Arabidopsis thaliana: one gene and its partners. The protein of the gene in region 3 interacts with the protein of the main gene of each other region in a pairwise test. Each region holds a gene or a part of one and is shown on either strand. Other genes may lie near its edges.

The links.
Region 1: the proteins of WOX5 (region 3) and WSIP2 come close enough for resonance energy transfer, tested with the Arabidopsis thaliana proteins (one study listed by BioGRID).
Region 2: the proteins of WOX5 (region 3) and TPR3 come close enough for resonance energy transfer, tested with the Arabidopsis thaliana proteins (one study listed by BioGRID).
Region 4: the proteins of WOX5 (region 3) and TPR1 come close enough for resonance energy transfer, tested with the Arabidopsis thaliana proteins (one study listed by BioGRID).

Annotation. Positions count from the first base shown.
Region 1 is NC_003074.8:5,367,765-5,374,714, forward strand, and holds the start of WSIP2 (WUS-interacting protein 2), read right to left. Parts: upstream 4,526-6,950; 5' UTR 4,401-4,525; exon of another isoform or gene 4,169-4,400; 5' UTR 4,106-4,168; coding exon 4,026-4,105; intron 3,856-4,025; coding exon 3,676-3,855; intron 3,587-3,675; coding exon 3,473-3,586; intron 3,362-3,472; coding exon 3,203-3,361; intron 3,119-3,202; coding exon 2,941-3,118; intron 2,856-2,940; coding exon 2,735-2,855; intron 2,212-2,734; coding exon 2,090-2,211; intron 2,008-2,089; coding exon 1,839-2,007; intron 1,690-1,838; coding exon 1,580-1,689; intron 1,344-1,579; coding exon 1,274-1,343; intron 1,148-1,273; coding exon 1,074-1,147; intron 698-1,073; coding exon 602-697; intron 529-601; coding exon 433-528; intron 141-432; coding exon 13-140; intron 1-12. Other genes in the region: AT3G15890 (Protein kinase superfamily protein), read left to right, coding at 6,625-6,665. UniProt on the Arabidopsis thaliana protein: Transcription corepressor of Zinc finger transcription factors GAF1/IDD2 and ENY/IDD1 in regulation of gibberellin homeostasis and signaling.
Region 2 is NC_003076.8:9,507,115-9,517,019, forward strand, and holds TPR3 (TOPLESS-related 3), read right to left. Parts: upstream 8,294-9,905; 5' UTR 8,150-8,293; coding exon 8,070-8,149; intron 7,984-8,069; coding exon 7,804-7,983; intron 7,723-7,803; coding exon 7,609-7,722; intron 7,388-7,608; coding exon 7,229-7,387; intron 7,127-7,228; coding exon 6,952-7,126; intron 6,865-6,951; coding exon 6,735-6,864; intron 6,638-6,734; coding exon 6,525-6,637; intron 6,439-6,524; coding exon 6,303-6,438; intron 6,199-6,302; coding exon 6,089-6,198; intron 5,932-6,088; coding exon 5,710-5,931; intron 5,633-5,709; coding exon 5,537-5,632; intron 5,465-5,536; coding exon 5,372-5,464; intron 5,208-5,371; coding exon 5,080-5,207; intron 4,893-5,079; coding exon 4,658-4,892; intron 4,573-4,657; coding exon 4,411-4,572; intron 4,314-4,410; coding exon 4,239-4,313; intron 4,034-4,238; coding exon 3,899-4,033; intron 3,807-3,898; coding exon 3,696-3,806; intron 3,579-3,695; coding exon 3,399-3,578; intron 3,276-3,398; and 11 more. Other genes in the region: AT5G27010 (ARM repeat superfamily protein), read right to left, coding at 58-180, 254-326, 399-455; AT5G27020 (uncharacterized protein), read left to right, coding at 1,073-1,567. UniProt on the Arabidopsis thaliana protein: Transcriptional corepressor. Negative regulator of jasmonate responses.
Region 3 is NC_003074.8:3,523,769-3,529,642, reverse strand, and holds WOX5 (WUSCHEL related homeobox 5), read right to left. Parts: upstream 2,364-5,874; 5' UTR 2,038-2,363; coding exon 1,734-2,037; intron 1,625-1,733; coding exon 1,380-1,624; 3' UTR 1,203-1,379; downstream 1-1,202. Other genes in the region: MEE34 (Mov34/MPN/PAD-1 family protein), read right to left, coding at 1-77, 468-654. UniProt on the Arabidopsis thaliana protein: Transcription factor, which may be involved in the specification and maintenance of the stem cells (QC cells) in the root apical meristem (RAM).
Region 4 is NC_003070.9:30,258,833-30,268,636, forward strand, and holds TPR1 (TOPLESS-related 1), read right to left. Parts: upstream 8,294-9,804; 5' UTR 8,068-8,293; intron 7,709-8,067; exon of another isoform or gene 7,677-7,708; 5' UTR 7,615-7,676; coding exon 7,535-7,614; intron 7,463-7,534; coding exon 7,283-7,462; intron 7,201-7,282; coding exon 6,928-7,200; intron 6,836-6,927; coding exon 6,658-6,835; intron 6,541-6,657; coding exon 6,417-6,540; intron 6,278-6,416; coding exon 6,168-6,277; intron 6,057-6,167; coding exon 5,885-6,056; intron 5,789-5,884; coding exon 5,679-5,788; intron 5,593-5,678; coding exon 5,523-5,592; intron 5,453-5,522; coding exon 5,379-5,452; intron 5,301-5,378; coding exon 5,205-5,300; intron 5,108-5,204; coding exon 5,012-5,107; intron 4,914-5,011; coding exon 4,786-4,913; intron 4,682-4,785; coding exon 4,447-4,681; intron 4,367-4,446; coding exon 4,226-4,366; intron 4,130-4,225; coding exon 4,067-4,129; intron 3,980-4,066; coding exon 3,833-3,979; intron 3,765-3,832; coding exon 3,654-3,764; and 12 more. Other genes in the region: PTAC17 (plastid transcriptionally active 17), read right to left, coding at 1-109, 196-287, 398-448, 715-911, 999-1,179, 1,257-1,322, 1,433-1,738. UniProt on the Arabidopsis thaliana protein: Transcriptional corepressor. Activates TIR-NB-LRR R protein-mediated immune responses through repression of negative regulators such as CNGC2/DND1. Negative regulator of jasmonate responses.

The DNA of each region.
Region 1 (6,950 bases), 1.8 Mb from region 3:
GGAATCATTTACCTAGTCCCATCAGCACAATATGCCATCGACGTGCAAGATCGACCGGGGGCATCATAATCCACTCTAGAACCCATGTTGTCATATAACCAAGCCTTTATTTTCCCATCAACAGCAGTTGAGAATATGAACTGACAGAAAGAAAAAATCCCCATTATAACTATCTCAATGGCCAAAGAGAGCAAAAGTGAAAAATCTTGCACAGACTATAAATGTAGATTGAGAAACATAAAACTGCTCACATCATTGTATAGCAATACACTTGTAATTATCATAACATAAATTTGACAAAAGATGGAAATGCGAGAAATTAGGCATTCTGCTTGAGCAGAGAACACCAAATAGACAATTGGTAAACGAGATTGCATCTAATTGGATGCCTTAAAATAAAGAGCAAGAGACACTTTATGCATTCTACTCTACCTGAATATTCTCTTTCTGGTGTGGGCACACGGAATAAACAGGTGCCTCATGACCTTCAAAAGTGTGCAATTTATTTCCGGTAACAGCATCCCAGACCTGTATAGAAATTATTTATATAAGCAGGATGGTCTCATTATACAAATGTAAAAACATACGTCAAGATGCAAACCTTGATTGTCTTGTCTTCTCCACAAGTCACAACACATAATTGCTGGTTTGGTTGGGAGAAAGCAAGATCGTTGACATTACCAGCATGGGCATCAATCTGTAATGATAAACCAAAAAACAAACATCAGCGTGTTGGGATCCCAGCTGTTTCAAAGATTTAAGAATGCTGAACGGTGATAAAAACATATATTCAAAGATCCAAGAATGCTGCTCGATGATTATAACAAAGATTTAAGAATGCTGAACGGTGATAAAAACATATATTCAAAGATCCAAGAATGCTGCTCGATGATTATAGCAAACCTAAACAAAAAAACTACTATCAGAATCCTACAGAAAAGAAAACAATAATAAACCAAGGAACTATAAATTCTTACAGTAAACAGATTCCATGCCTATATCCACATATAACAATGAATATATATATAAAAAAACATAAGCGGAATGGTAACCTACTAGGAAAAAAGACAGACCTCTAGATGATTCCGTAAATCCTCGCCACCATGATATGAATATATATGCACAATATGCTTGGAATATGCGACACCTGAAATAGGAAGTAGACGTTACAACACTTGATTTGCCATAAAAATTATATGACAACCAGCCTCAACCCATGAGGGACACAAACACTTGACTAACGATACGCCCATAAGATCATAGAATGGCTTACCCAGTAGACCTCCATCAGGACTCCAAACAACTCGGTTTACTGCTGCAGTATACTCGCTAGCAAGTGAAGCCTAATGAACAAGAATGAAATCAGACAACGGGTCAGCAAAAGATAAAGATGTCCTTGATATAGTACGTGGCAATATTGAAAGCTTTTATGAGTAATCTATCTCAGAAAACTAGCTATTAACCTTGATATGTTCCTCACTAAAAAGAGAAGAAAATCCTCTGTATAGTTTTAACTAACTAACAACAAATCTCCCACCTCATTCGACTGTTACAGTAGATCAATAAAGAGGAACTATACCTGAAGGTTCACAGTGCAAGTAGCAAGATCCCAAACTTTAAAGCTTCTAGAAACGAGCTTCTCCCTGCTACCCACCTCCCATATTGCAATATCACCAAGATTGGTGCCAACTAGGAAACAAATGTAAATCCAAGATAAAGTAAGCAGATTGTACTGAGAAGATGAAAGTTATGCTGTCTGATACAAGTTTTGCAGGTTTCTCTGGCATAAACCAGAATAAAACAGAAGAATGATGCGTGCTTCAGAGGAGAAAACCAACCAAGGAGCATAGTTTGCTGTACTGGATGAAAATCCATGCTCTTAATGGCAGAACCCTGACTCAAAATCCTGCTAACGTTTTTGGGCAAGTCATCAGTAGAATAAGTTGCATGAGCATGGCTTTGCCCTGGATATGTGACTGGCAAGACATTGACTGGAAGATTATTAACCTGTAAAATGTTCAAAGAAAGTTGTGACTTCTAAGAAAAGTTGAGAACTTAAGCTGAAAAACGAACAAGCAGCCGTTAATACCCCATCTGAAATACCAAAAGGTCTGGGTCTCTTCAACACACTTTCAGAATCTGCCGTCTGATAATCCATTGATAGGCTATTAGTTGGAGGACTCCTGGGACGCTCACGCTTTAACATAGACACTGCAAGGAAAAAAAGAAGAATAAATAGATTATGGTAAGCTATGCAATTGGTAAACACACACAAACTGATCTCCACGTTATGGACTACAAAAAATGAAATAAATAAAAGTTTCAGACCTAAGACAGCACTTCAAGGCTATCTGACATTAAATTAAATGTTTGCTTCTCTATCTATTATCTATAAACAAGAGTATTGTGAAATTAAACAAAACGGCTGATATGAGCATATAGTTCTCTCTCTCTCTCTAATCCACCATAGAGACAGTTTACCACTAAAAACTGCTTTAGTCCGTAAAAGAAAAGAGAGACAGTTTACCACTACAGCTCTGGAAAATGTAACTCAGTAAATATATTTATATCATTTCATGCAGTTCAGTCAGTCAAAGAAGCACAGATAACCATCCAACTAATGATGATCTAAACAAGGGATGGCAAATTACATAACCGTATAAGCTAATATTTGGTAAACTAAATCTCCAACACACATATTTCAGAAGAATAAAATTAGTAGGGACAACATTACCAGCACTGTTGGGGGCACCTAAGCCGATAGGCCCAGCGGAAACAGTAGGGTGTTGTACCGATGGATTAGGCATCCATCCTGCAAGAGATGTTGTAAGAGGAGCTGGTGTTGGCTGAAATGGCTGAACAAGAGCATACAAACTAGCAAAGTTAAATTCATGTGCTAAAAACTAATCCAACAGAAGCTGTAATCTTAGAGCAACTTACACCGTGAGCACCTAATGGTGGGAAGCCTCCAACTTTAGGGACTGAACCCATTAAATGATTAGTTGTAGGGGAAGGAGTGTGTGCACCATTGGGATGCCCACACGTATGGTCAACAAATAGTGTTTTTATATCCGGGTTAGGCCTAGGATTCTTGCAAAGCTGATGTTGCCAGTTCAAACTATGATTCAGCAGAAGCAACGTTCAGTTAGTTGTTCCACCAAAAGAAAAACGGGAGCAAAAGTTAAAAAAACAAAGCTTGTACCTTTGATTTATTAAGGTTCTCAATCTAGAATTCTTCAAACTGGGAAATTGAAGTTTGTCTCGGAAGAGAGGATTTGCTTCAATCAGTTTTTTAAGTTCCCCAAGCATGATACCTCTTGCGGACTTAGTATCTCCATACTTGGAAAGCTGCTCATTTTCCCTTGAATTATTGCAAGTAAATGAAACATCAACACCACAAGCGCATGGTTTATAACAATCCAGTGGTCAATGAAACCATAAAAAAAAAGTGCTAAGAAAGTAAAGAATGTACCTGAAGTTAGTCAAGGTTAAAAGCATGGTAATCTCCTTAAAAAGCTCTTCGTTGAATGTCGAGAACACTTTCAACTCCTTAACAAGAATATCAACCGCCTTGGCATGATCTTTCCTATGGTAAAACAAAAGATGGGAAAACAAATCAATACTCAAAACCACACTTCAATTCAATAAAACTAAACAACACAAGTGAAACTTTACTTGTCAAGTGCTTCAAGGTACTTCTGCTTCCGAATCTCGAAAAATATTTTCATAGAGTATCTATTATCATCAACTTTAGTGAATCCAGAAAGATACTTCTCTACATCATCCCATTCACCAGCTGTTACACTATCTTCAAAGTACCTCATGTTGAAGAAAAAACCAGACTCTTTCTCCAACCTAATTAGTCAAAAAAAATATCCAAAGTTGTAACTGCTTCTGGATTAACATTGAAGAAATAATGCTAAATTACAAAATCAAAATTAATTAATCTTAATCCCTACTTTACTCTAATCCCGACAATCAAAGGAAGAGGGACCGCAATTAAACAATGATATAATATAAATTACCTGTGAACAGTATCTTTGAATTTCTCTTCATCGAGAAACTGAAGTATTAAAAACACGAGTTCTCTGCTGAGTGACGACATATCCTCTTCTTATTGCTCGCTCTCCGAAAGTAACAGATCGATCACAATACCACTCATGAACCACTAATCAAACACAAAGACACAAAGAGAGAATTAGGGTTTTATAAAAGAAAACATCTTCTTCACACCCCAAAAAAGGAAAGACAGATCTAAAAAAAAAAACGAAATCGATCGAATTCGAAAGACGAATCCCCCCAAACCCAGGTGGCACGAGATGTGCACGTGCGAGAATATACGAGAGAGGCTCCCGAGAAAGAGATTAAAGAAAAAAAGGAAAGTTTATAAATATAAATACCTGTTGAATTTTGACTTTGAAGAAGGAGAGAGACAAAGCAGAGAGGAAGAAGAGGAAGAAGAAGAAGAAGAAGAAGAAGACTTTGGAGAAGAGAGAGAGAGAGACGTGGGGGCTATTTATGGCGATAATTTCTGATGCTGTCTCGTTTTCGGAGTTTCCTTTTTTTTTTTTTGGATTTATTGCTTTTTATTTTAATTTATGAGTTTTTATGATTTAATTAATTTGTTTTTGTGTGGTCGTTGGGCTTCTATTTTTTTTAATAGAAGCGTGTATTTTGTAGATAGGAATTTACTCAAAAAGCTTAATCTCCCCACTATAATAAGTAACCTTCGTTTTAATTACTTTTTCTAAAATTTATTTTAATTTAATGTTTTCGTATTTTATTTTAATTTAAGTGACGTATTGATGTTGTTGCGAATCTAGTACAACACTGCTGTCTAATTTAATGCTCTCTCGTTAGGTTTTGAACGTAGCTGGGGATTTTTTTTTGTTTTTCAAACTATACATTAAAGTAGAGTATCTCATAATTGGTTTATTTCTGTTTCTGTATAGAATTTAGTGCCATTATATTATTTTTATGACATCAACTAACCGTCAATTAATATTGCAAATATTTTTTTTATGAATTAATTATTTAAGTAATGGATTTTGAAGTTTTTAATTTAGAGAAGAATAGCAGTAAATCAGATGTGATATTTTTATTTCCAGTTATGTAGTACGCAAATTAATTAAATTTTATTTTCTTCATCTTTTATTGTCAAAAAAACAAATTAAAGGTTTTATGGATAATTTACTTTTGGAAAAATATAAATCTTATGTGGTAACAAATAAGTGAATTTTACAAATGTGTATTCTTTCTTTTTTGTTATAGTAATTCACAGTAAAAAGTGGAGTTTTATTCTATAATACGGTTTGTAACGCATTTCCGTGAATATATTATGCTAATTTGTTAGGAATTTAAGAGATATGGCCTATTCACATGTTTAGTTTTGTTCTATTTATAAAAAAAAAAAAAATCAAAATTTATATTTGTACTTTATTTTTTTTCCCATGGATGTTTTGGCTAGTAATTACTATGCTACTTCAACAGTCCATCCACATTATGGTTCTAGTAGGAGTCATATCAAATCTTCTTACAAGTATTCCTACACCAGTATTGCTTACATTGGTTTGGGCTTTTAGGTCTAGATTATCGGGGGAATTGACTGGCCCAATTGCTAAACATGATTGGGAATCAATTTCGTCCCAAACATGTTTTCCTTGAACAATCACTTTGATGACAATGACACACCCAGACAGTTATCAATGACTGCAATTAATCAGCAAATGGTTCCATAAGCCCATCTGCCCATGTTGGTGAAGAAGCATCACCTCAAATATATAATTTTAAGATGAGAGAGCAAACATTCCTTTCTGATCGCTCTGAATATTTTAGCAATTTACTAAACGTAAAGTTATTTTCATAGCTTTAATTCAAAATTTCTGTAACTAGAGCTAGCAAAGAAACAAAGACTTGTGTTTAATATTATATTTTTGAAGAAGATAGTAGAATCTTCTGTCTATTTGTTTAATATTTGAAACATCGAATAAATGGTTTCAATGAGTTGTCCTGACTCATCAGCCGACCCTTAACAATGACTACAACAACTTCAAATTTTAAAACATCAAGTATCTTCAACAACATACCCTTTCCGTTTTATATTAAATAATTGGTAAAATCCAGCTTATTTATAATTATGTTATTTCTGTATAATACATTACAGAAGAGTAAAACAAAAACTTTAAAACGACACATATAATAAAAAGGAAAAATAAATAAATAGATATGAGAAAAAAATACAGTTGGAACTTAATATATACACTTTTATACAACGGATACTAACGTTCAAAAATTTTATTCTTCTTTTGGTTAAAGTTTTATTTATTGTTTATGACTTTTCCATATCAGCTTCTTTTTTAATACTATATATATATTTTTAAAATTTGTTTATTTTATGCGAGCAAAAAAAAAAAAAAGTGTGCAAAAATAATAAAAAAGAACAAAATAAATAGTCTACTTGTACTTCTGTCTCTCTCTCTCTCTGTTTATCAATCTCACATCGAGACGAAATTAGAGCTACTCAGACTTGTTCTATTAAACTGTTACCTTCTCCAGACAAAGCGTTACCTTTTTTTTTGGTCCGTACGAGGAAAAATCTAGGAGACAGAGCTATTTGTTCGAAAGATGCAACTTTTAAATAGCTGTTGTGGAAAAGGATTTGATGGGTATGTTTGAATCATTGACTCGATAATTGTTACTCTTCCTGTTTCTCTCTATGGGTTTGTCTGTTTTATTTCCTTTGTTTGGGTTGCTGCAAAATTCTGTTTATTGGTTAAATCGGTTATGGTTGTTCTTCTTGATTAGGGTTTAAAGATTCTATATCAATTTTGGATGTTTGAAATTTGGAGCTTATCTTTTGTTCAATTCTCTATGCCTTCCCTTTATCTCTAATGTTTTAAAATGTAAAGTCTGTTCTTTTTTTTATCATCCTCACTATATAATATATCACC
Region 2 (9,905 bases), on a different chromosome or scaffold from region 3:
TCGCAGGTTTCATATTTTCATCAACCAAAAACATGAGAACACACCCAAAAAAAGTACCTTTGCGAACTTTAGCATTGGGATGCCCAGTTCGGTTCTTAAGCTCAAGCAAGGTCAAACCTTTCTTACTTGTAGCGAAGCCATCTCTTTCTGCTGCCACACTTTGCTCATGAAGTATAATTGCTGCAATAGAAAAAAAAGCAATTTCTCATAGGAAGAAGTTAAAAAGTTTGAAGTTGCAGGAGAAAGCTTATACCTTTGGATTTAATCTCTGTGTTAGTTGCATTATTTGGTGGAGGTAATTTTCTCCCGAGCTTTCTCTTGATTTTCTGAAAACAGACAAAGTTACTTAAAGCCCTAAAAACAGAATAGTGTTACTTAAAACCATAAAGAAACAGAACCTTGAAATCGATTCCTTTCTTTTGCTGCTTCCTTGCAGGAGCCTTGGAGCGAGACATTTATTTTGTATCTTTGTAAATCAAATCAAAGCCTAGGAGCTGGTTACGAAGGAAGAAGAACCAACCCGGAGAACTGAGAATTTTGATGGTGATGAAGATGATGATGAATCGAGAGAGAAATTGAGGTTTAAGAAGATTTTTGATTGATTCTTAAAATAAATCAACATCCAAAACCGGGTTACCGAAACGATTTAACTAAACCAGAGATATGAGGAACTGAGAGGAGTAAACCATGTTATCGATGAATCTTCCTCTTACAATCTTATACCACAAGGAACGATAAATTAGGGTTTTCTGAAACGGAGAACTGTGTTAGTTGGTTAAGTCGTTTGATTAGACCGGTTTAGATGCTTTAAAGCAAATTGGCTAAAACGGGGCCGGTTTAATGGGTGATTGATTTTTATTTTCTCACAAGTCAACGTACTGTACCACTAGAAGAAGTGTAGTTAAATCAAACCCACGACTCTCTCCACAAACACCACTAACTCTCTCTTTACCATTTTCATCGAATCATATGACGATATCACTATCTTCATCAAACTCTAAAATCATCCCTGAGACGAGCAAAGACTCGCCAAGACTCGTCTGTGTCAACGTCGTAGAAGTTTAGGGTTTCAATGGAACAAGGAACGATCAAGATCAAACTACCTAAACCATCAGAGATAACGAGGAGGCACAAGAAAGAGGCCGATATGGGCAAGAAGATAAAGAAAGAAGAGAACATGAAGAGAGATTTCATCAGACGGAGAATGGTTTTTCGAGTTAAGAAGATGACTTCTGTGATTTCCGGTGTCTTCAACCGCAAGAAAACACTTTCAGGTGAAAACAGAGAACAGAGAGATGGTTCTGAGGGCGATGAGACCGTGTTTGTTAAACTCAAGCAAAACCCAATTCAGAAGAAGGGGAGTTTCTGGGAAAGCGCAAGAATTCGACTGAAGACACTCATCTTAGGGCAAAGATTGAAGAGGAGAAGAAACCGAAGAAGAAGCTTAAGTGAAGGAATGGAAGAAGAGGAGCTGTGCAAGAAGAGAATACTAATGGGTGAAAGATGCAAACCAATGAACGGGGTTTTGCAGTATGATGGTGACGGAATTCTCCTACCCGAGCCATGACGGTTGATCGGTTTTCGTCAGTATTAGTCCTAGTGTAGTTTCAGTTTCTTGTTGATTCACTCATTAGAGATTTGCAGGTAGTTTATACAAACTTTATTTCTTACCAATTTTCAATATCTTGAAATCTTGAAATCTTGAAACTAAGGCTACATTTGAAGATCTAATGACACTGCCTATAAATAATCGAGATTAGTTACATTGATGGATTATGAGGAAGCCATTCTGGTTTGTTCATCTTTGTAACTGTTCTGGAGTTTGGTTGCTTGTGGTGGATGGTGAATTGATAGCTTCAGAGGGTGGAATCATCCCCCACTTGCCTTCACCCTCTGTCGGTTCCATCATCTTCACTGACCCGTCATTCAAACCTACCGCAAACTGGTTTGGGTCTTGCGGGTGAGCCGCCACAACAAGAGGAGACAAGCCTTGATTCCTGTGAAAGCAAAGAGAATCAATGAGAAGAGTTTATAACTATTTTGGCTTATGAAAATATACCAATTTCTCATGTTTCAGAAGTCAATTTAAGTCTATTATACAGATTCATGTACCAAACCTTACAAAGTACAGTGATTTAGAAATAAGAATCTGATGAAATGTTGGATAAACTTACCCTTGAGGCAAGTAGGCGGATGGAGAGATACGACATCTTAATCTGAGACTGTCCGCGTCAAATACTCCAATGTTACCATCGCGGAAAGTGGTGTAGATCAGCTGGCTGTTGCATGCGTACACCGCTGAAGATATAGGAGCAGACAGCGAGTCTTGTGGAATCCACTGAGACATGAAAACAAGAGAACATAAGTCATTACAAATTTCAAAATAATGATTAAGAATATGTATATATGACCTTGCATTTCATATATACATGCCAGGTCAGAGATGATCCATTTTATATAAGTGGATTTACAGAGATGATCTCATCATAGTCATAGATACCTGTCGGATACATTCCATCTTGGAAGCATCAAATACCGCCAGTTGTGTCTCGTGGACTACCAGAATACGCAACTGATCCACATGAAACTGAACCCGCGTGTCTCCATTGGCGGCTTTTCCTGCTGGCATTTGTATTGCAACGGATTTCCTCTTCTCCCATGTGTCAATGCTCCAAAAGCAGATCTAAGAGAAGACAACAGGAAGAATAAGTATCCTCCTAGATTAGATAAGTCTAATGGTAGAAAATCCAGCAAGGAAACAACACAAAATAATCAAGCATTTTTCCCTTCAGTTGAGATATATTTACTACAGGACAACAACAACAACAACAAGACGCAGCATAACACACCTGTGCATCAGCACCAGATGAAACCAAGATGTTGAGGGCTGTAGAAAATGCTAGGCCTGTGATGCGTTTCTGGTGACCCTTTAGCTTTGATTTGACCTGATGGAACACAATATGCAAGTTTCAGATCGTTGATAGAGTTTTAAGGCAACATTAGCAGTGAGGGGAAAATTAAACTGTAAAACATATGTGAAGCTATGAGAACCATTTCTTCAAAAAACGTAAGGTTCACAAGTTTTTCCTTGTCATAGATCAAAAAGACTACATAAGTGGCAATGGTTAGTACTAGAAACTACTTACCTCATCCACTCGGACATTATAGATGTGAATCGTAGAGTCTTCCATTCCAATGGCGATGACGTTATTGTCCTGAGGATGGAACGCCAAAAACGTTGATGCTGGTGGAGGCGGCATGAATGTTGTCATCACCTATAAGGCCAATAGTTTTTTTGTGGAAATTAGAACAACCAAAAGAGTTTACTAGATTAGTGTGAGAACATTTTCAGTTAGAAATCTTGTGGCTTTTTTTAAGTTCATATAGATAATATATACCTTAAAAGTCATCATGTTGAACAACGAGACTTTTCCTCCAGCAGCAGACATGACATATGAGTCGTTCTTAGAGAGAGCGATGCATGGGGCAGCGTTTTCAAGGTTTACACCAGACACATCATTGGTCATAAGAAGACCACTGTTTGGTTGCCAATGCTGAGGAACAACAGTAGCAGTTGCCTGCATAATAAACAGTACTTAAATAAAACCGCACACAGCATGCATTAAGCTATCTCTAACTCTTTAAAACCGCAGACAGCATGCATTAAGCTCTCTCAAACTCTTTTTTACGATTACCTTTCCACTAGGGTTCTGCTCATTGGGAACCCACTTCCAGAGTCTCTGGATACCATTGGAACCTAGTGCCAAGATTCCAGCACCGGAATTCGTATACAGAAGCTGAACAACCTGCTTTCCCACGCAGCATGAGAAAATTAAGCCTCAATTTCAAAACATTTATAGAAATCCAACAACTTTCTGAGAAAGATAACTGCACAAACCTTTGTGGAAGAACCAGCGGTATCGGGTAAAGTAGCTTGGAAACACTGGGAAGGGTCCAAGATTTCAGCTAATTGCCAAGATTTTGGTTTGTCTGTTGAGTCATCGATTCTCGACTTTGAGGGATCAACTCCATTCTTGAGGATATTCAGAAAAAAAAGATTAGTAAATATTTTTTTTAAACATGACAAAAAAATCGGAAACAGTCAACTACTATAGTCAGAGAATAGTAAACTACAATTTCGACAAATGGAAGTTCACTTCATTTACAACCGAAAATCCAGAACAGAATAATAAATTATAGAAATGGCTAGAAACATAGCATTTAATGAGTGATTTTACCAGCATTTGTGAGTGTCTAACAGGAGAGCCTCGTTCAACTTTACAATTGACAGACGCAACAGGAGCACCAGGAACCTAACAGAATATACCAAAGTGTGTAAACCGAGACAGCTTGTAATGACAGTGGATGTAAAAAAGGGAAAAAATGTAATACAAAGTTGAGAAACATTACAGCTTTGAAATCAACTGGAGTCCTCATCGTTTCAGAAGCTGGAGTTTCCATCGCTCGAAGAGATCGGAAACCAGCTGGATTAGCTAGGATCTTAAATCCGTTATCTGCCGTAGTAACGGCTAGAAGATTGCCGTCCTTGTTAAATCTCAAATGGGGAAGAGCCTGAAGTTGGGACAAGTTATATGCAAACCTAAAAAGACGAACATCCAAGCAACAAGCCATGGGAAAAAGAATCTTTGGGACTTACCGGAAGTCCACCCTCAGCATCAGTGCTAGTCAGAACATTGATGTTGTTCATATCCCAAAATTTGATTTGTCCATCTTCACCAACAGCCAGAAAATGGTTTTTTGAGGTATCGAACTGAACCACACCTGCCAACTTTTTCTGAAACTCTTTATACGTCCTTTTAATTGATCCTTCACTTTCATTCCACTCAACTAGGAAAGAATCTCCATCTTTACTCGTTCCACAAGAGAACAATCTGAAGGGGGAAAAAACATCAGAAAGCACTGAAAAGGTAAACTTAAAACAGAAAGATAAGATTAGAAACTCAAGGACACAACTCAGTATCCTCCGGAGTAAACAAAAGAATCTGAAGATTTTGGAAACTGAGGAGTGAAGAACAAGCGGTATAGAAGAGGGAAATGTTTATGAGTTTAAGATCTTACCTAGTACCATCAGCACTGTAAAGCATCCTCGTACACCATTTACCGGGAGCATCATAGTCAACTCTGGAACCCAGATTATCATAAAGCCAGGCTTTTATTTTCCCATCTATGGCGGTTGAAAATATGAACTGAAATCCAAATAAGAACGAGATGTATTTTGGTAAAGAACAGAAATTCATAGGCAAGATAATACTATATGAAATGTGTCGTCTACTTTATTGTTCTTCAAACGGATTGGTAAAACAGTATAATAATTGATGTAAAATATAGTTTGATTCAATCCTTGCCGCACCTGAATGTTCTCTTTGTAATGAGGGCAAATGGAATAAACTGGAGCGTCGTGGCCTTCAAAAGTAAAATGCTTCCGACCAGAAACATCCCATACCTGTTCCACATTGATCAAGTTAGCCAGCTGCATTGATATCTAACAGTGAAACTTTGTGACTCTTTATCTCACCTTGATTAATTTATCATCTCCGCAAGTAATTACACATAGTTGTCTGTTTGGATTGGCGAAAGCCAAGTCGTTCACAGCACCGACATGGGCATCAATCTGTGAAAAAGTGATCTAGTCTCAGTGGGATATTATTACATCGCAATATTTCTCGTACAGATCACAAGTATGCTTACCTCAGTATGTTGGCGAAGATCATTAGGTCCAGAGAAAGCGTACAACTGAATTAGATGTTTTGTAAACGCAACCCCTGCACAATAAGAGACTGAGACCAGAGACCATAGACAACATACAATTAAAATCCAACAATGCATGACGGGAAGCTTACCAATGAAATTTCCATCCGGACTCCATGCAACGCGAGTGACAGATATCGGTGTTTCTTTAGCTATCAAAGCCTGAATGATGCCAAAAGAAAGGCAAGTATAAGAATCTTGCACAGCAACTAGTTTGCTGATACGTTTTATCTCCAACACTTCTCATAGCCATTTGGTTGAATTCCGCCTTTATACATCAAACACATAAACTAAAAACTTCTTAGCTGTAAAGACAAACCTGAAACTGATGTGAGCAATTAGACATATCCCATATCTTGAATGGCCTTGAAACCAGCCTCTCTCGAGCGGCAAGTTCCCACAATGTGATTTCTCCCGTCGCAGATCCAACTGATGGCATTCAAACGGTCATTCAGAAAGCCAAATAAGAGATAACAGAAATATAACTTCAAACACAGTTTAGAATTTGTATTCTTTTTTTCAAACCCCCATACCAAGAAGTAACGTGTTTTGCATAGGGTAGAACTCCATGCTTGTCACAGTGGACCCTTGATGCAGCGCCAGAGCTGCCTTTGTTGGCAAATCTTCCAGCGACCATGGAGCTTGCTGCCTAGGAGCAGGATATGTCACCTGGAAAATGATAAATGCTTAGAATTTTGAGAAGATGCAAGAATTATATAAACAGCTTTCCAGAAAAAGAAAAGAATTCGCGTTACCTCCTCCACAGATGGAGCAGGGCGGAGACGCTTCATTAGTTCATGATCAGGATTCTGATAATCTACTATACCTGGAGTTGCTGGTGGTGTTCTTGGTCGCTTCAAGATTGACACTTTTTGGAAGAAAAATAATAAGTTTTTGATGGAAACTGAAATGATAGTTATTGATAAGTCGAGGATTAGAAATCTAGAGGATCGTCAAAAACTAACTTTGATTCTGAGGTTGAGGCATCAAGGCAGGTGTAACAACGGCAGCTTGGACAGCAGAAGCACCAGAGGCAGCAGCCATCCAACTAGCTAAAGCACCAGCATTAGCAGCAGCAGGACCAGGTGGAAAGGGCTACATGTAATACAGATTCCACAAACATTAAGATTAATTTAGATTCAAAAAACATGATTAAAGCAGTCAAACATCGAGGTTTCTTACAACATGAGGTCCAAGTGACGGATAAGCTGCTGGCTTCGTCAAAGTAGTAACAGGCTGATTGACTGCTGAAGGTGCGAGAGGACCATTCGGAAGTGTGCAAGTGTGGTCTGTGAATAGAGTTTTAATATCTGGGTTTGGCCTAGGATTCTTGCACAACTGGTGCTGCCAATTGAGGCTGCAAGAGAACATATGCACAATGAATCATCCAACAACGAAGTCATCCAAACCTCATCTGCAACATACAGAATGGTCATGAGGAAAGAAAAAAGAAACACACCTTTGATTAATCAGAGTCCGCAGTCTCGAAGATCTCAAAGTAGGGAACATCAATTTATCACGAAAAAGTGGATTCGCTTCAATTAGTTTTTTAAGTTCGCCTAGCATTATGCCCCGAGCAGTTTTAGTGTCTCCATATTTTGAAAGCTGCTCATTTTCCCTGCAGATTCATGAAAATCATTGATGTCAAATTTCAATCCACAAAACGCAAACAATCGAGAGAGAAACTCGAGTATCACACCCTCTTTCACATCCAAACAAAAACAGTCTACAAAGCATCACGAACTCGACTTGGACTGAACCTAAACCAAGTCTCATATTCCTACTTTCCATAACAACAGAAACATCAACAAGGAGAGATCAAAATTCAATATATCATACCTAAAGTTTTGCAAAGTTAAGAGTTGAGTGATTTCTTTGTAAAGCTCCTCATTGAAAGTGGAGAAAACTCTCAAATCTTGCACTAGTATCTCAACTGCTTTTGCCTTCTCTTGCCTGTAACAACAGAGAACATCAAACTCTAAAACCACAAATCTTCAAGAGTAAAAAAACAAATAAGACAGCTTATAATCATACCGATCAAGAGCCTCGAGATACTTCTGCTTCCTAATTTCAAAGAAAATCTTCATAGAGTATCTGTTATCATCAACCTTAGTAAAACCTGACAAATACGTCTCAACATCATCCCATTCTCCAGCTAGAACTTTCTCATCAAAATACTTGGTATTGAAGAAGAATCCTGACTCTTTCTCAAGCCTATATTTAACAAATTACAAATCAGTCAATCCCAAAATTCAGCCTCTCACAACACAACACAAAACAAACCATATAAATAGACTAACCTGTGCACAGATTCCTTAAATTTCTCTTCCTCCAGAAATTGAAGTATCAGAAACACCAACTCTCGACTCAACGACGACATTCTCAACGAATCTCAAATCTGACGAGAAACGAAGAAGAGAGACGACGAAAGAAACACGAATCCGAGCTCTGAAGACACGAGCCCAGGTAAAGACTCTGATTTCGAGGATTTCTAGGGTTTTGAAGAGCTCTAGCTTTTAGAGAAAAATGGAGAGAGAGAGAGAGAATATATAAAGAAGGAGGAGAAGATTGGGGGATTGAGAAACTTTAGACCTCGCTTTCTTGGACGCGTTCTTCTTTGCACAGAGACATCGTTCTACCGACTTATCAGATATAAGCGGAGTCTTCGTCGGTGATAAGTAGGCTTCCTTATAAGAGAGGTAGGTTAAGTTATTATCAAATTGAGTGATAAGTTGATTTGGAGATAGAGTGGCGGATTCGAAAACAAAATTCAAATAGTGTGAATATTCTGTGCACACGTCCAGTCTGGTCCCCACATTTTTCTCTCTCCTTTATTATGTCGCTCTCAGCTTTCGATGCACTCTTCGTTTGGCTTTTCTCATATTATCCTTTTTTTCTTTTTCTCGCGATATTTTTGAGATCTCTTTTTCGCAAGATTTAATTAAGTGTTCGTGACAATTACAATGTGGACAATTCAACATCTCGCAGGTTACGTCATATATAATTATATATACTCATATTATAATCTTTGCTTTTTTTTTTAGGCATACACCAGGAGAATTACTCGTGTTCTCCATGGCGAAATGAGATTATTTATAAAAGAAAAACATAATATGGATTTAGAAAATAGATATTTGAAAAGAAAAATAATAAAAAAAGGAAAATAATATTTTTAATATTTCTTTTTATTTGATTTTTTAGGAAAAACATAAATATTAAAAAAAGACATATTAAATCTTGTTTTTTAAATGTACTATTTTTTATAATTTAAAATTTTTAATAACTTTAAACCAATAATATTCAATAATTTTTATTGAAGTTTACAATTTATCAATTATAACTAATAAGTATTGTATTGAAAACCTATAAAATTAATCTTTTTGAAACATTTTTTTTCTAGAAAATCAAATAAAAGAAACATATGGAGTATGAAAATAACTTATTAAGTATATATAAAATAAAATTTTATAGAGGCCGAATACATTAACTTTATTAGAATTAAGATTTACAAGTATTTAAGAGATAGAAAAAAATGATTAGGATATAACAATATGGTTTACATGTATATTCTTTATACGTCCTTTTAGTATGGAAGTACTCGTGTAGCTCTAATTTTGGAACTTTTTTTTTGAAATATTGATTTCGCTAAAGATTTAGTGAATGTATTTGCTAACTGATCACCAATGGAGACATGAGTAATCTGAAGCATTCCAGCTTGAATTAAGTGCTATATATATGGTTCATTCGAGAATAGAAAACCGGATTGGTACCGAGGTAAGTGGCACCAACATTTTCACAATATATCATATATATTCTTTATACCATTTAGAATTGTAAGCTTTGGTACCATATAGAGGCTAAATGTATTGACTTTATTTTAGAATGAGATTTACAGGTATTTATAGAGAGATAGAAAAGTGATTAGGGTATACTAATGAGAACAATACAATTTACAAATATATCTTATAAATTTAAGGATAAATGTCAATTTTCATTTTTTAAAAACACGATAGATACAAATCGAGGTTAATTCTTCAAAACCTAACTTAAGTAAAATAAGAAATTTGATACTATGTTTCCTAACTTAAGTAAAATTTACTTATTAACATAAATGTAGAAAATATTTTTAAATTTGT
Region 3 (5,874 bases):
CATGTGAAACATCGACTCGTGGTAGTTGTGATCAAGAAACCATATGCTTGTGTCTTTGTCATCCTCCTCAAAAGGCACTGTAAAACCACAAACAAAAAGTCAAACAAGTGATGTGCAAGTAACAACAACGCACTTATGAACATGCTCACAGTGTAATGTACTGTGCAAAATCAAATGAAATCTGTTTCATTCTCTAAGAAATTAACTCAACCACCATATTATACTCATCACTCCAATATGGAATTAGGCCACTAGGACCAAGTTTGACTGAATCCAAGTATCACACAACGATTTTAAAAGTAAGACAATTTTGCAACCCAAAAGCTAAAAAAAACTAAACTTAAGTAAATTTTCAGACAAGAACACTAAACATATTGAATTATGAGATTAGCAAGAGCTTAACAAACTTTCAGAGATCTGTGAGATCGAAGAGAACAAAGAGAAAGGAAAAAGTAAAATCAAGGCACCTGCGTAGCTGTTGGTGACGTCAACAGTACCACGAGAGCTACTTCCGAGCAAAACGCCGACGACGCGCTTGCTCGTGTCCTTGGCTACACGATTGTAATGGTCGACGATACTAAGCAAGACAAGTGGGTGAACGATCACTTTCTCGATTGTCCTTGCCGATATTTGTTGCGTCTTTATAACATCCATTGTTGGGTTAATCAAATTCGCTTGAGTAATTCTAAATTTCTTTCTCCGGGAATGATCAAAACCTCAACTTTTGATTCCGTTTTATCTCCGACGGAACTTGAGTTTGCTTCTTCTCCAGGAAAACCCCTTTAATTAATCTTCTCTAGGCACTATGGGTTTAACCAAAGTTTGGGCCTTCTCTGTATTATAAAGCCCAATTATATGGGCCTAAAAGACAATGGGTCTGGGTAAAATAATATTAAGGATATTAATCTGTTCGTTTAAAAGAGTTGGTTTTATTCTGATAAGATTGTGCAAGTTTTTTGGTCTAATGGTTGTTGATCAAGACTTAAGTATTTCGAGATGATGTAAATTTTGTAAATTGATAGAGATAAGTTTTAAGTTTGTTTTTTTAACATCTTTTAAGTTTTAAGTTTATCTGATATTTCTAGTATTTCTGTGATGCAAATAGAACTATTCGTTAATGATGTCTTTCTTAAATTATTTTTAAAAAATATAGAAAAATACATTAACAAATCACAACCTTAGTTATATGATGATATACATATACGCATTCCATAACATAGATTCTTATATCAAACAAAATGAGACAACTTTTTGATAAACCATGCATTGGAAAATATCTCATAAACCATGCATCGGATAATATGTCATAATTCAAAATACAACAACATTTTAAAGGCTAAAGCATCTGTTTTTTTTCTTTTGTTATTGTGGTCAATGACTTAAAGAAAGCTTAATCGAAGATCTAATGGCGGTGGATGTTCCATTTCAGCTCCACATGATGAGTATGGAGAAAACGACGTCGTGGTGGTCTCTCGAATATATTCACGGTACTGGTTATTGCCTCTAGCTCTCATTTTGTCCACCTTGGAGTTGGAGTCTTCAAATGAATTCACCGGAAAGAGTTGTAATGTCTCTATCACCTTCTCTTCCTCTTGACAATCTTCTTCGCTTATTTCAAAAACATCTATAATAACACACTATTATCCATTAAATATATAGAAATATCATATAAAACAATAATGATATATAATTATATATATATATATATATATATATATATATAAAGAGACTACCTCTAGTTGATGGTTGATGATGATGATGATCAAAATCAATGGAGATTTTACGACGTTTCTGCCTCTCCCTAGCCTTATGATTCTGAAACCAATAGAAAACATTCTTGCTCTCTATCTTGCCGTAGAAACTGAGCTCCGTAGAGATCTTCTGAATCTGATCAGTTGTTGGAGTTCTAAGACCGGCTCGAAACAGATCAGTCAATATCTTCAACTGCTCCACCGTTGGATTCCATCTCCCGCACTTCGTCCCCGTTCCTCCGTTATTGTTGCCACGTAAGCTTCGACCTTTCACGGAGAAAGACATGTTCAGATGTAAAGTCCTCAACTGTTTTACGTTTTAGGGCCTGTGTATATATCCATATATATAGTAAGATTGTTCATAATAATTTATTAAGTTTTCATCTTTTCGAAAATAAAAAGAGAAATGAATTGATGAAATGTCGGGAGGAGAGGTTTTCGAGTTATGTGTCGTTTTATGATGAGTTGTTTATTACGAAATGCATGCTTTGTTTTTTTTGGGGATTTGGGAGAGACTGATCTTTGCAGATTTGATCGTTTTCTTTATCCTAACCTATCTAGGCTTCTGTTCCATCTATATTTACATATGTTTTTGTGTGTATATATTAGTATATAATTGGATCTCGCATTCATGCCATGGCATGCATAAGTTGTATATCGGAACCAGCGATTGAAACATTGAATTTGTTCTCCTTTAATTTGTGGTGACTCGCACACACTTAAATTGCGTTCTACGTAATTTCTTACTATTCATATAACATGATAAGAATAATCAGAAAGCCTTGGTGGTAATGTACTATCTAGTGTCAATATTTTAACGTTCGATATTGTAACTTCAATGCTTCAACTATTCCAAATTATGACACTAGAAATTTTACATTCACTTTCTTTTTTTTGTATTTGTTTTGAAGTTAGAAGTTCTTTACAAATTGTAGATCTAATCTGTAATCAATAATAAGTTGAAATAGCTAGCAAGTCCTAAACAAAGATTGTATGCAATTACATTATTGAGACGGATGGATGGCCGATATTAGTTTGATATGAATGAAGATGATAAGATTAATTATAAACATCATGACATTGTGTGAACAGATTGTAGTTTTGTCTCTCTTGCACAGAAGATGTGACACTTGAGGAACGTTGGTCGGCAAGTGTAGACAGGAAATTTGAAATTTTATTCTCTTTTATAAGAAAATATAATATTACAAAATCAAATATCTGAATTCTGAATCATAAAAAACTACAAAAAGAAAAGGCATTTAATAGATAGAACCAGAAGGTTCGCCACACACATGTATAATATAAGTCCTACACCAAAATATTTGTAAAAAGCCATTTATTAAGTCACCAAGAACTCCTTCTAGAATGAAGAATGGTTGAAAGATGACTGCAAGATGTAAAAATAATTTTAACCATCAATAAAAGTATAAACTCATAGTGTTTTACTAGCCTCTATATGCTATCACGTCAATTAGATCTGATTTTTGAAATCTGAAAATGAGACAGCAGCAATAGTAACATAAATCATGCATTATACTGTAAATGCTTTGGTCAAAAATTTATTTCTTAGTTAAAATCTAACTGCATTCTAGTATATAACCTGCGACCGAAAAAATATTTCACTTTTAAGCGTACAACTCATACATGCCTCAGTTTTAACAATATACAATCCAGCTCTTATAATTTTGCATAGTCTAGTTGTTTGTACAAGAAACTTATTGATGTCTATATGAACAGTACGTATGACACCAGCAGAAATAGAAAGGAAAAACTTATAATATTCATGTAGTGTGCGTTAAAATGTCTTAATAGTGAGGATTTAGATGAGACATGCACGGGATGCTAAGCAAGACGAAAATGGTCCAAATAATAAAATGACAATGTGAATAAAACCAAACATTGTTTTTATAAACAAAGTACTCTTCACTAGACAACATAACAGTACTTACAAATATCTTTGTCTCTCTCGCATATAAACTGCATCTTGTTTTTAAAATTGATCAATTCGGTGTCAAAGTCAAAGTTCACGTGGCTTATGTTACTTGGAATCATCCCAGTTAATTTACATAACATCTTTGTTTAATTACAAATTTCTTACAGAATATCTCATTACCTACTCTCGAGTCTAACTAAATAAGTAGATTTTTGGATTTAATTCGGTTTAGAGAAACTTTATGACTTAGATTTGTTAGATATATAGAAAAAAGTGGCATGCACCCAGCACCCAATTAGTCATCAATTACTGGTACTGGATGATAAAACAGTTGTGAGTTGTACATTAAAAAGTTAAAGATAGCATGTCGTGGATTTGAGATATCAAAACTCTCGTATTGGATGCCCCCAAACATATCATATACTTTGTTTTTTTGCAATATTCTTTTTTGTTGTTGTGATATATGCTTTTATACAACATTCACTACTTTGCATAGTTTTTTGGGTTGTTTTTTTCTTTCTTTTTACACAAGTCCGGGTTCCAAGTTTTGGGAACCTCAAAAAGCAACCTTGGTTTCTAATTTTAAGTTTATGATGACTATTAGTATTAAAAAAAATTAGCGAGAGAGCAATCAATCAACCCGTTTGTGTTAATGCAATGGAAACCTATGGAAGGTTTTTTTTCTTTCTATAAACACCTATGGACGTTGTCTAGCCTTAATGGACAACACTCTTGATTTAAGTAACTGCTGAGACAACTTTTCGAACAAAAAGTTGAGCTAGTATATTTATAAGAAAGAACAACTATCAAAAACATAACGACACATTAGTTTGAGAAAGTATAGTTCTTAAGTTCATATATGATTACTTTAATATGTATTTGTAGTTAAATTTAAAATTACACAGATGCAAAGTTGCAAACCTAAGGGAGAAAAGAAACTTTGAGTTTGGCGTCTTTAATGATTATAGCGTTTCGCGCTTCATCAATAATAGTGTTTTAAGATGGTCAAAACTTAAGCTTTGTTTGGCTATTTAGTAATTAATATATAAGTACGACGATCAAATTTTGCAAGATGATTTATTGATTATATACAGATAACATTGGAGTTGTTTCATTTGTATATAGACTTCTCAGACAGCGAGAATTGTGTTCTTATCGTAGTCAAAAAAGTTGAAGGCGGTCTCACATCGTAATGTCCACTAACATTCAATTCCCTATGATGTTCCATGTAATATATACATATTTCTTTTAACGTACAATATCTATACAATTATCTATAATCTCTATATTATAATATTTGAATCGATCATTAGAATAGTACAATTACTAAAGATTTGATACGACAACAGTTTGGGTATGGTGGCTCTAACTACTAGGTCAATGTTGTAGTATTATCTTCTTCTTTTCTTTTGTGGTAGGAATTTTGTAGTATTATCTAACTTCTTTTTTTAATGGGTTCCATATTTTTTCCATTACTCTCATCAAAAGGTTCAACTAATACCAAATCTTAAAAAGAAACTGTATTCATGTCAAGCGTGTAACTTTTTCCTAAGTAATTTTCATATTTGATTTGATTTTAAAGGTTTGCTTCTAGAAACTTTGAAATATAACCTTGTAGTATATCACGAAATTGCATATAGAAAACATTATTTAGCAAACGATATGAACTAGTTCATTGGAATATTTGGTAGTTTAAATTATCAATATATATCCAAATTTGGATGTCAACGATTACTATTAACATGAAGAATTACTTAATTTGCTGAATAATGATTTTGAAAGGCAATTGAAGAATTATATCTAAATTCAAATTATTAATTGTTCACAAGCATACATGGGGAAGAATTTAAGGTTTAGAGATTTGTAAAAAGTAGCGACATGTATTGGTCTTCTTTGTCCTTTGTCTTCTCTGTATGTCCAGTACAATTTCCTATCTTTTTCTAAGCACTTTAACATACGTAAGTGGAATAAAAAGCTTCACTTTAAAAAGTGTTTTTTTTTTATATACATTTTTCCAGAAAATACCATGTATAGTAGTGTTGTCAATAACTAAAATTTGACAGCTCTAACAACACATGGACTAATTTTAGACGTGTGATGATAGCCTCCAAAAACGAAAATGCATAATCTATACATACATATTTCATAGTTAAACTCTAAAACCTTAGCTTTTTCTTAACGATCTTAATT
Region 4 (9,804 bases), on a different chromosome or scaffold from region 3:
ATGTCCATCGTGGTGATGATGGTCGTGGTCATGGTTGTGATCATGATGATGATCATGGTCGTGATCATGGTGATCTCCCTTATCATCTTCATTCACAGAGCTTTCGATTCTGATAAAGCAAAGAACACCTTAATAACTGTGTGAAGCTACAAGACACCAAACTGAATATTATCATAAGTTAAACAAGAAGCAGACCTCTCTAGATCAAAACCTCCAATTCCAAGAACATAATCTAAGTCAACATTTCCGTACTTTGTTCGCGTCATCTGAGCCATGCTGTTTATTGTCTGTAGATAACCATAGCAAATACGTTAACATTATAACCAAGAATGGTCTGAGAGACTAACATATAATCATCTAGTGAAATAAATGAATACGAAGAAGATGTGAGACCGACCTTTATGCGTTGTACCACCGAACCTAATTCCGCCTCACCAACAAGATCAGTCTGCAACAAAGTACAGTCACTTTTCAGAAATTGGATATGCCAACAAAAACAATACAACCGATAACTTCTCAATATATTTGAGTAAAACATATGGATCCATCACTTAGGACGTGTCAAAACCATTTGTGCAAATGAATTTATTTGTAAACTATAAACTATTTGAGAGAGGAACGACCTGAATCTTATGATAGAAGAGATTCAACCACTCAAGATCACAAAAACTATCACATTCTCTTTGAGACAATTGTGTTCAAAACTTTGGTTACCTTGTTAACTATGATACGATCTGCATAAGCTATTTGTTCAACAGCCTCATTGACAACACCTTCGGGTTTGACCTCGTCTAGATGCAAACGAGCATGCTTAGCATCAACTAGAGTAACAACACCGTCCAGTTTGACATCATTGAAAATTTCTTCCTCGGCATAAAAGGTTTGGATAATCGGTGCCGGGTTTGCCAATCCTAAAAAGTGAAAATAAACATAAGATAGTCATTACTCATTCCCCAGATTCTCTAAGCATACTAAATGAAAATGCCCCCTTTCCCAACCTGTAGTCTCTATGACTATATGATCGAACTTTCCTTTCTTGGTATTGACTAATTCTCCAATCATCCTGACAAGATCACCCCTAACAGTGCAACAAAGGCAGCCATTGTTGAGCATCACAATATCCTCAGCTCCAATAGATTTAGAAGCAACAAGTGACCCATCAATGTCAACTTCACCAAACTGAGAGAATTCACATGAAACATGAATTAGAAAGCAACACCATTATAACTGAATTCAGGCGAGGATAATAAGCTAACCTCATTCTCAATCACGGCTATTCGCTTCCCATGATCTCTGGTCAGTATATGATTCAGCAATGTTGTCTGTGGAAAAACAAAACATTGCAGTATAATTAGTCCAACATTTCTTTTACTTAGCAGGGCTAATTTTAAACCCTAGAATAGATATGAAATGATGAGAAACACTGACTGACCTTGCCAGAGCCCAAAAAACCGGTGATAATAGTAGCCGGAATCCGGTTATCTGGCGGAATCTTAGTGGTGACATCAGAATCTTCAGTCTGCGTAGCTGAGGCGGAGACAGATGAGAATCTTTGACGGCGGACCACCGGGGAATAGAAGAAAGACGGCGTCGTTCTGACGGAAACGGTGGTAGCTCTGGGCCTGGAGAGAACAGAGACGGCGGCAGAAGAAAAGCGATAGTTGAAGGCGGCAGAGGAACGAGGAGCGGTGAAAGAGAGGAAGGTCGTAGCAATCTCTAGTGTTGATAGCGTCGCCATTTTAGTTAAAGAAAGCAAGCGAGAGGTCAATGGCGATTGGCGAGTTTAAACCTCGTCCCACTCTGTAGCTTCTTCTAGATACACACACCAGATAATTTTCACTCGATTTTTTTTCTCTGTCTCTTCTCAATATTTTCTCAAAATTACTATTTTTGAAGATATTTATCATTGTAGATATATAAGTCTGTGGGCCGTGGGCCGCATAGGCCTTAGTAATTCTTCCTTCGTATCTCAAAACGAATATCCAAACCTATCTCGAAGCTGCACGTGGCATTCAATCCTTAGTTCGTGCTTAGATTCGGAGTGCAAAATTGCAAATTCGTCCTTTTGCAAAACTGATATTTCTCAAGACCAAAATATCAGAGGCAAGCAACATCGAATTAACCAATTAAGAAGAACTTGTAAGCTATTAATTCATTTACCTTGTTAGAATGCTTTCTTCCCCCCACACAAACAAAACAATAATAAATCGGAAAAGATCTAAAACCCCCACAAAAAAAACAGAGTAAGAAACTGAAGCAGATCATCTCTGAGGCTGGTCAGAGGCAGAAGCTCCAACGGAAGGTGTAGCCGTGACAGCGCTGGCTGAGCCATTTTCAGGCGGTGGAGCTACTCCCCATTTACCTTCTGACTCAAGCGGCTCGAATATATGGACCCCTCCGTCTGACAGACCCACTGCAAACATGTTGGATTCTTGCGGATGAGCCGCTATCACCAGTGGATGGACATTCGAGTTGCTGCACAAAACATCAACATGAAGACTCAAGATTCATGATCCAACATTGCACTAGTTTATATTCATTTCATTAACTCACCTGAGAGAAGCTGGCAAATATGCAGAGGGATTGACTCTGCAACGCAATCGAAGGTTTGCAGAGCTGAAGACGCATATTGTAGCGTCCATGAAACTTGTGTATATCAATTGGCTATCACATGAGAATGTGGCATGTGTTATTGGAGCTGCTGATTCACGCACAGGCCACTGGAATCAAAATAAAGACATTTCTTTCTTCTATAAGGGTTACTCAGATGCAAGGAGAGAGAATGAACATATATAAAGACTAAAACCTGTTTCATGCATTCAAGCTTGGTTGTTTCGTATATAGCGAGCTGAGTTTCATGGACCACAAGGAAGTGTACTTGATCTTGATGAAACTGAACACGCGTGTCTGACAAAGAAGACGTGGATCTTCCCTGTGGAATTTGCAGAACCTTGCTTTTCTGCTTCTCCCATCCATCCGTGTTCCATACGCAAAGCTGCATACAAAAACCAAAAGATTCACACTAAGACTTCTAAGGATTTGGATTCTTTATTACAAAACATGAGATGAATCAGCACCTGAGCGTCTGCTCCAGACGAAACCAGAACGTTTAATACATTGGAGAAAGCGAGGCCGGTTATTCTCTTAGAATGTCCTTTAAGCTTGCTCTTAACCTCATCAACACGAACATTGTAAATCTGTATTGTACTGTCATCCATCCCGATCGCAATGATATTGTTATCTTGAGGGTGAAAAGCAAGAAACGTTGCGGCAGGAGGAGGCGGCATGAAAGTAGCCATTGTCTGCGCTTAGCCAACAACACAATTAAATGTAACAGATGAAGCATTGTTTGCATACATTAGACATAGTGCTGTCTGTAGCTGGGATTTTACCTTAAACGTCATCATATTAAACAAAGAGATCTTTCCTCCCGATGCTGACATCACGTAGGAATCATTTTTCGATAAAGCAAAACAGGGTACGGCTTCTTCTGGATTAGTTTCAGCCACATCGTTTGTCATTAAGATCCCGCTCGCTGGTTGCCACTGCTGAGGAGGTAAAGAAGCCGTTGCCTACACAAAATCTCAAATTGAATTTCATCATGATTTCAACTCTTTTGGCGATCTTAAAGGAAGATTTTAGACCATAAGTACCTTCCCAGTTGCATTACGGTCATTTCGCTGCCACTTCCATAGCAGATGAATAGCATTTGATGCCAATGCCAAAATTGCATTTCCCGAATTTGTGAAAATCAATCTCGATATCTGCTCAAGTTTTGAGTCATTAGAATCAAGCCATATAAGTACAGTTATGTCAGTCTATGTGTTAGTACCTTGGTGACTCTCATATTCTCAGGGAGTCTCAATGAACGGCACTGAGAGGGTTCGCCGACTTCAGTAAGCTTCCATACCTTAGACTTATCATTTGATTCTTCGGTAATCACTGGCTTCACATCCACCATATTCCGCGAATCTCCATTCTGTTGGAAAGGTAAGTGATCAACAACGATGATTGGACCCAGACCAAGAGATAGAGAAACTGACGGAAAAAGTATCGATTTTCGTACCATTCCAGGGATGGAAACGACAGAGGCAGGTCTCTCTACCATCGGAATGCTGTTGATTGCAGGCTGCAAATGTACATGAAAAATAAAGTGTTGAAGAAATTTCAAATTGGGGGTTAGTAATTTGCTTGTTGAAGATCCAGTGAGCACAAAATTCAGTACCTTGGAGGATTCAGAAGATAAGTTCTCGACTGTGTGCAATAGCCTTAGACCATCTGAGTTTGCCATAACCTTAATCATATTGTCATTTGCGGAAACAGCCAAGAGAGAGCCTTCCTTGTTAAATCTGATCCGTGGACTTGCCTACAAAACATAGAGAGCCATGATGGCTGCAAATGAAAACATTCGGTTCCCAGGGAGAATCGAGGTATTTGTTTGCATACCTGGAGACCTCCATCAGCATCAATGGCAGTCAAAAGCTGTATGGTGTCCATATCCCAGAACTTAATGGAGAAGTCGTCACCCGCAGCGAGATAACGGTTTTTAGTAGTATCAAACTGGACAACACCAAGGGAACGCTTGTGGAATCCTTGATAAGTTCTCTTCACAGCTCCTTCGCTTTCATTCCACTCAACTATGAACGATTCCCCATCTTTACTCGTCCCACAAGAAAATAGCCTATCCATGTGAATATAATAAAAAATAGATTTTAAATTTATTATCACTTCATGACGATACAGAACAGAACCACAACATAAAGATGATGAGAATCATGTTATAACCTAGTTCCATCAGCACTGTAGGCCATCGTTGTACACCAGCGACCAGGAGCTTCGTAGTCAACCCGAGAACCCATATTATCATATAACCATGCTTTTATTTTTCCGTCAAGAGCAGTTGAAAAGATAAACTTAAGCAGAAGAAGAAATAAACAAGTCAAAACCAAATAGAAACGAATTTCAACTTGTACTTAGCAAAAATGAAACCGTATAAATATTGCTACTTTACCTGAATGTTTTCCTTGTAGTGAGGGCAGATAGAGTAAACAGGAGCTTCATGGCCTTCAAAAGTATACCGTTTTACACCCGTTGCAGCATCCCAGACCTTAATTCACAGAATTGATTAGTCTGTTTTTAGAGTTCCAACAAAAAAAAAAAAAAACAAGAGTTAAGGAAATGAAAGAAGAAAAAAAATACTGAACCTTGATGGTTTTGTCATCACCACAAGTAGTAACACATAGTTGCTTGTTCGGAGTGGAAAATGCAATGTCATTGACACCGCCAACATGAGCATCAATCTGAAATAATAAAAAATGATTTTCATTACAGGAAATGAAAGAAATACTCCTAAAATGTTGTTGTAAACTATATCACACCTCAAGGTGTTGCCTCATGTCTTCACCACCGTGATAAGAGTATAGCTGTACAATATGTCTCGAATAAGCAACTCCTGCAGTTGAAAACGTGCGCATATGAATACTCAAATCGGTTGAAAGAGCATTTGTAATCTCAAGTCTTACCGAATAGGGAACCGTCCGGGCTCCAAATCACACGGTTGACAGAAACGACAGGTTCTTTCACCAAAGCAGCCTATAAAGACCAGAATTGTTGGTCACTGAAGTTTCAAATAGATATTAGATATTAATATTCTGGTTGATTTTCACAAAAGAAGACACCTGCAAGGGCATCGAACATTTACTCAAGTCCCAAACTTTGAAAGTCTTCTGGACTAGACGTTCTCGAGAACCGACTTCCCAGAGCCCAATATCCCCTACATTCGTACCAACTGGAACAAAGAAAATTGAAGCAAGAAACTTCTGGTTTTACAAAATTTCTGATGATGTATGTTACATGAAATATGCATACAGACCAAGAAACAGACCTAGTAGCAGAGTCTGTTTAATAGGATGGAAATCCATGCTCATGGGAGATGAGCCTTGGCTCAAAGTTCGTGCAACTGTCTTGGGCAAGTCATCAGGTGCTTTGAAGGTTTGATTATGACCATGAGCCTGCCCCGGGAATGTCATTGGTAACATGTTCACACCTAGACTCACCTACATATGGGGAGAAAGAAGAAATACGTTTAAAGTCTAAACTAGTACTACCAATTATGTAAAATTGGTATTGATAAGAAAATATATAATATTAATTAAGATTTTTCTCACCTCGTCAGAGATTCCCATAGGTCTGGTTCGCTTTGAGACATGGTCTGAGTCACCTGATGGATAGTCTACAGCGGAATTAGAAGGAGGAGTTCTCGGGTGTTTCAAGGCTGCTAAGAACCAAAAAGGAGAACATGTTACATAGATCACAGGTGAAACTTAAAGGTTCTGAAAAAAAGGCGAGGATAAAATTTAAGACTATAGTTCCACACAGCTTTTATAAAGAAACACCACATTTGATAAGCAAATAACCTTGGATGGATGGAGCACCAAGAGCAATGGGTCCTCCAGACACAGCTGGATGTGGGACAGAGGAAGGACTAGACATCCAACCAGCAAGAGGTGTCGGAACCGGAGAAGGTGTTGGTTGAAAAGGCTAAAGACATAAAGGTAAGTCAAGCACGGCATGTAAAGGTAACTATAGAGCTAGAACCAAAAGCAGTAGAAATGGCACTTATAGAAAATACGAAAAATCAGGTGGAAATTGACCTACCCCGTGTGCGCCTAGAGGAGGAAATCCCTCGGCTTTTGGTAATGATCCAAGAAGCGGATTGTTGACAGGGGATGGTGCTCGTGCATCATTTGGTAGGCGGCAGGAATGATCGACAAAGAGAGTCTTAATATCAGGATTAGGCCTTGGGTTCTTACAAAGCTGGTGTTGCCAATTTAAGCTGCAGGTTTATGTAGCCACATAGAAACAAGGAGTTAAAGTAGCTGACAAGAAGAAAATTTGTTGAAGTGAACAAGAAAGGACAAAGAATACCTCTGATTAATCAGAGTCCTGAGGCGTGAAGTTCTAAGGGTAGGAAACTGCAATTTATCACGGAATAAAGGATTAGCTTCAATCAACTTCTTGAGTTCCACCAACATGATAGCTCTGGCGGACTTTGTGTCCCCATACTTGGATAACTGCTCGTTCTCCCTGAAGTTTTCTAAGGTCAAGAGCTGAGTGATTTCCTTGAAAAGCTCCTCATTAAAAGTGGAAAACACTTTCAAATCTTTGACTAAAATATCGACAGCCTTGGGACGATCATGCCTAGATAGAAGCAGCAGCAGGTGTGATTGATTGGCAATATGAAAACATTTGATTCTTGTTGTTGTTGAGAGACACAAGTTACCTATCCAAGGCCTCGAGATACTTCTGCTTCCTAATCTCGAAGAAAATCTTCATGGAGTATCGATTATCATCAACTTTAGTAAAACCAGAGAGATACTTCTCAACCTCATCCCAGTTACCATTGTGCACCTCATCCTCAAAATACTTCATATTGAAGAAAAACCCAGATTCTTGTTCAAGCCTAATTAATAATCAATCAAGTTAATAATAATGCCTAATAAAAGACAAAAAGGAAAAGAGAGATCGGACATACTTATGAACAGTCTCTTTAAACTTCTCTTCATCTAAAAACTGTAAGATCAAGAAGACGAGCTCTCTGCTCAGAGAAGACATGATTGATTTTGCCACTCAGTCCGATAAAGCTATCAAGTCAGATGCAGAAAAACCCACCAGATCTGCATATCAATATAATGGCGACGATGATAACCTTACAAAACCATCAAATCATCCCAATTTACTGGGTTTCAGATATTCCTCCATTTAATTATTATTTTTAAAAAATGAAAATAGACACAGCCTCTTAATTACACAGTATATAACTAGATCTTTACAACTATCCTCCGGAAAATTCTCCAAAAGTCTCTATTCCGGCGGATTTAATTAGTGTTTAATTGGGCTACACAAAAATTAGGTCTTCCTAGTATTATTATTGTCCACCGAATTAAATATAAAGCTTAAAATGGCCATCTTTTTCACTTCCATGAGACAAAAACAAAAATCAAAAACCCAGAAAAGCTACGATTTAGATATTAAACCAAAAATGAAAGACCTAGATACGTTACTTGCCATGAAGAAGAAGAAGACGATCGATTTCAGAAACAAAGGCCAGAGCTTCAGTTTCTCTCTCCTGATATTGAAAGAGGCCAAGGATTTGGGTTTTTTGGACTCTCCTCTCTCGACCAGAAAGTAAGAAAAAAACTAATGGAAAAAAAAAAAACAAGTTTTCTCTCTCTCTCTCTCTCTCTCTTCAGGCTTATTTATACGAACATTAAAATCTTGCAGAAATGGAGACTTTAATTTAAAACCAAAAAATAAAAAGTGATTTTAATATGCGAAGGTGACGGATAACGGAGTCTAATAAGACAATGCACCTATCACACGATAAGGGAGCTGATTTTGATAAGCACGTTGACTTATATATAAGTACAGATTAAAGTTTAAACCAGCATATACGACTTAGCCGGCTACAATTCTCGACGTTATCGGCTCAGAATCTCTAGCTGCTAGCTGTACTCCAAGTAGACATGATCCTCTGTGTCACAACATGAGTACACCCTCGGTGAGTGCCGTCGATCTTGTACGATGAACCTTAAAGGATATTCATCCAACGGTTTGAAAGCGAAGTAGCTGCGTCCCCACATTTCCCTCATAACACGACAAAGCTTTTCCTTCTGAAATGCATCTTTAAGTTCCATTGCCCTTGAAAATGACAAATATTTACCTAAATTGCCATTTTTATTCTTGAGATGCGGTACTCGTTGAACAAAAATCACGTGATTGAGAGATAATGGAAGAGGTTATCAGTTAAATTCTCCCGACATGATAACTCTTAAGCCTTCTCGTGATTTGGAGTCGTTAATAATTTAGTGAGACTCGTTTAATTTCTAATCATTTAACTGTTTTGGATTGTTTTTGTTAATCGCATAATGTGATGTGAGCTATATATATATTGACTATTGAGGATTATAATCGAATTTATTTACTCGATGACTAATAAAATGATTTTGTTTGTTTATTCACAGCGTAATTGGTATTTTCGTTATATATATTCGACGGTTTAATTACAATGAACCAATATGTTAATTTTATAATGTGTCTAGTGTTATTTTATATTGGTCTTTCAGACTTTGACAAGAAACATCGAGTTTGACGTCATTACCGTAAAGTATTTTGGCACCAAATGAAGATCAATATTATTTGTTTTAATTGCTCAAGAATGATGATGGTTGCTTTTGCTAAAGTTATGGGTGCACAAGAAAAGTATATAACTTTTGAAAAGCACATTTTTATTCTTTTAATTTACACGGTAACACGAGTATCTCTACTTTTCTAGTAATGCTTACACAGATTGATATCTTGATTATTTGGATATAAGTTCATTTGCCGATTTAGCTTGCTTTTTTATTCAAATACTGATTAACATGGAATGCAAGAAAAAGGAAAAAAAAACCTTCTTCTTGCCATGGCGAGTGAGAGGACTACTAAAAAGAATACAGTAATTCCAAACTGATAAATATGAGTTTTTACGTGTGGAAAAAAAAAATTTGAGTATTACCTTAGCTCTGCAAGATATATTAAGAATACAGCAAATAAAGAAGAAATCAAATAAGCATATTAGATTTGTTTTCACAAACTGAAAAATCCTCAAATACATAAAAAGAAAAACACATAAAAATCCAAACTAATAAATATGATTAATGATTCACTGATTTTCGCCTGAACTAAATTATGGTCGTAAGTTTTTTGTAAAAAATTGTTAAAAAAACAAAAACTGTCTTATCGAGACTTATAACAAATGATGAA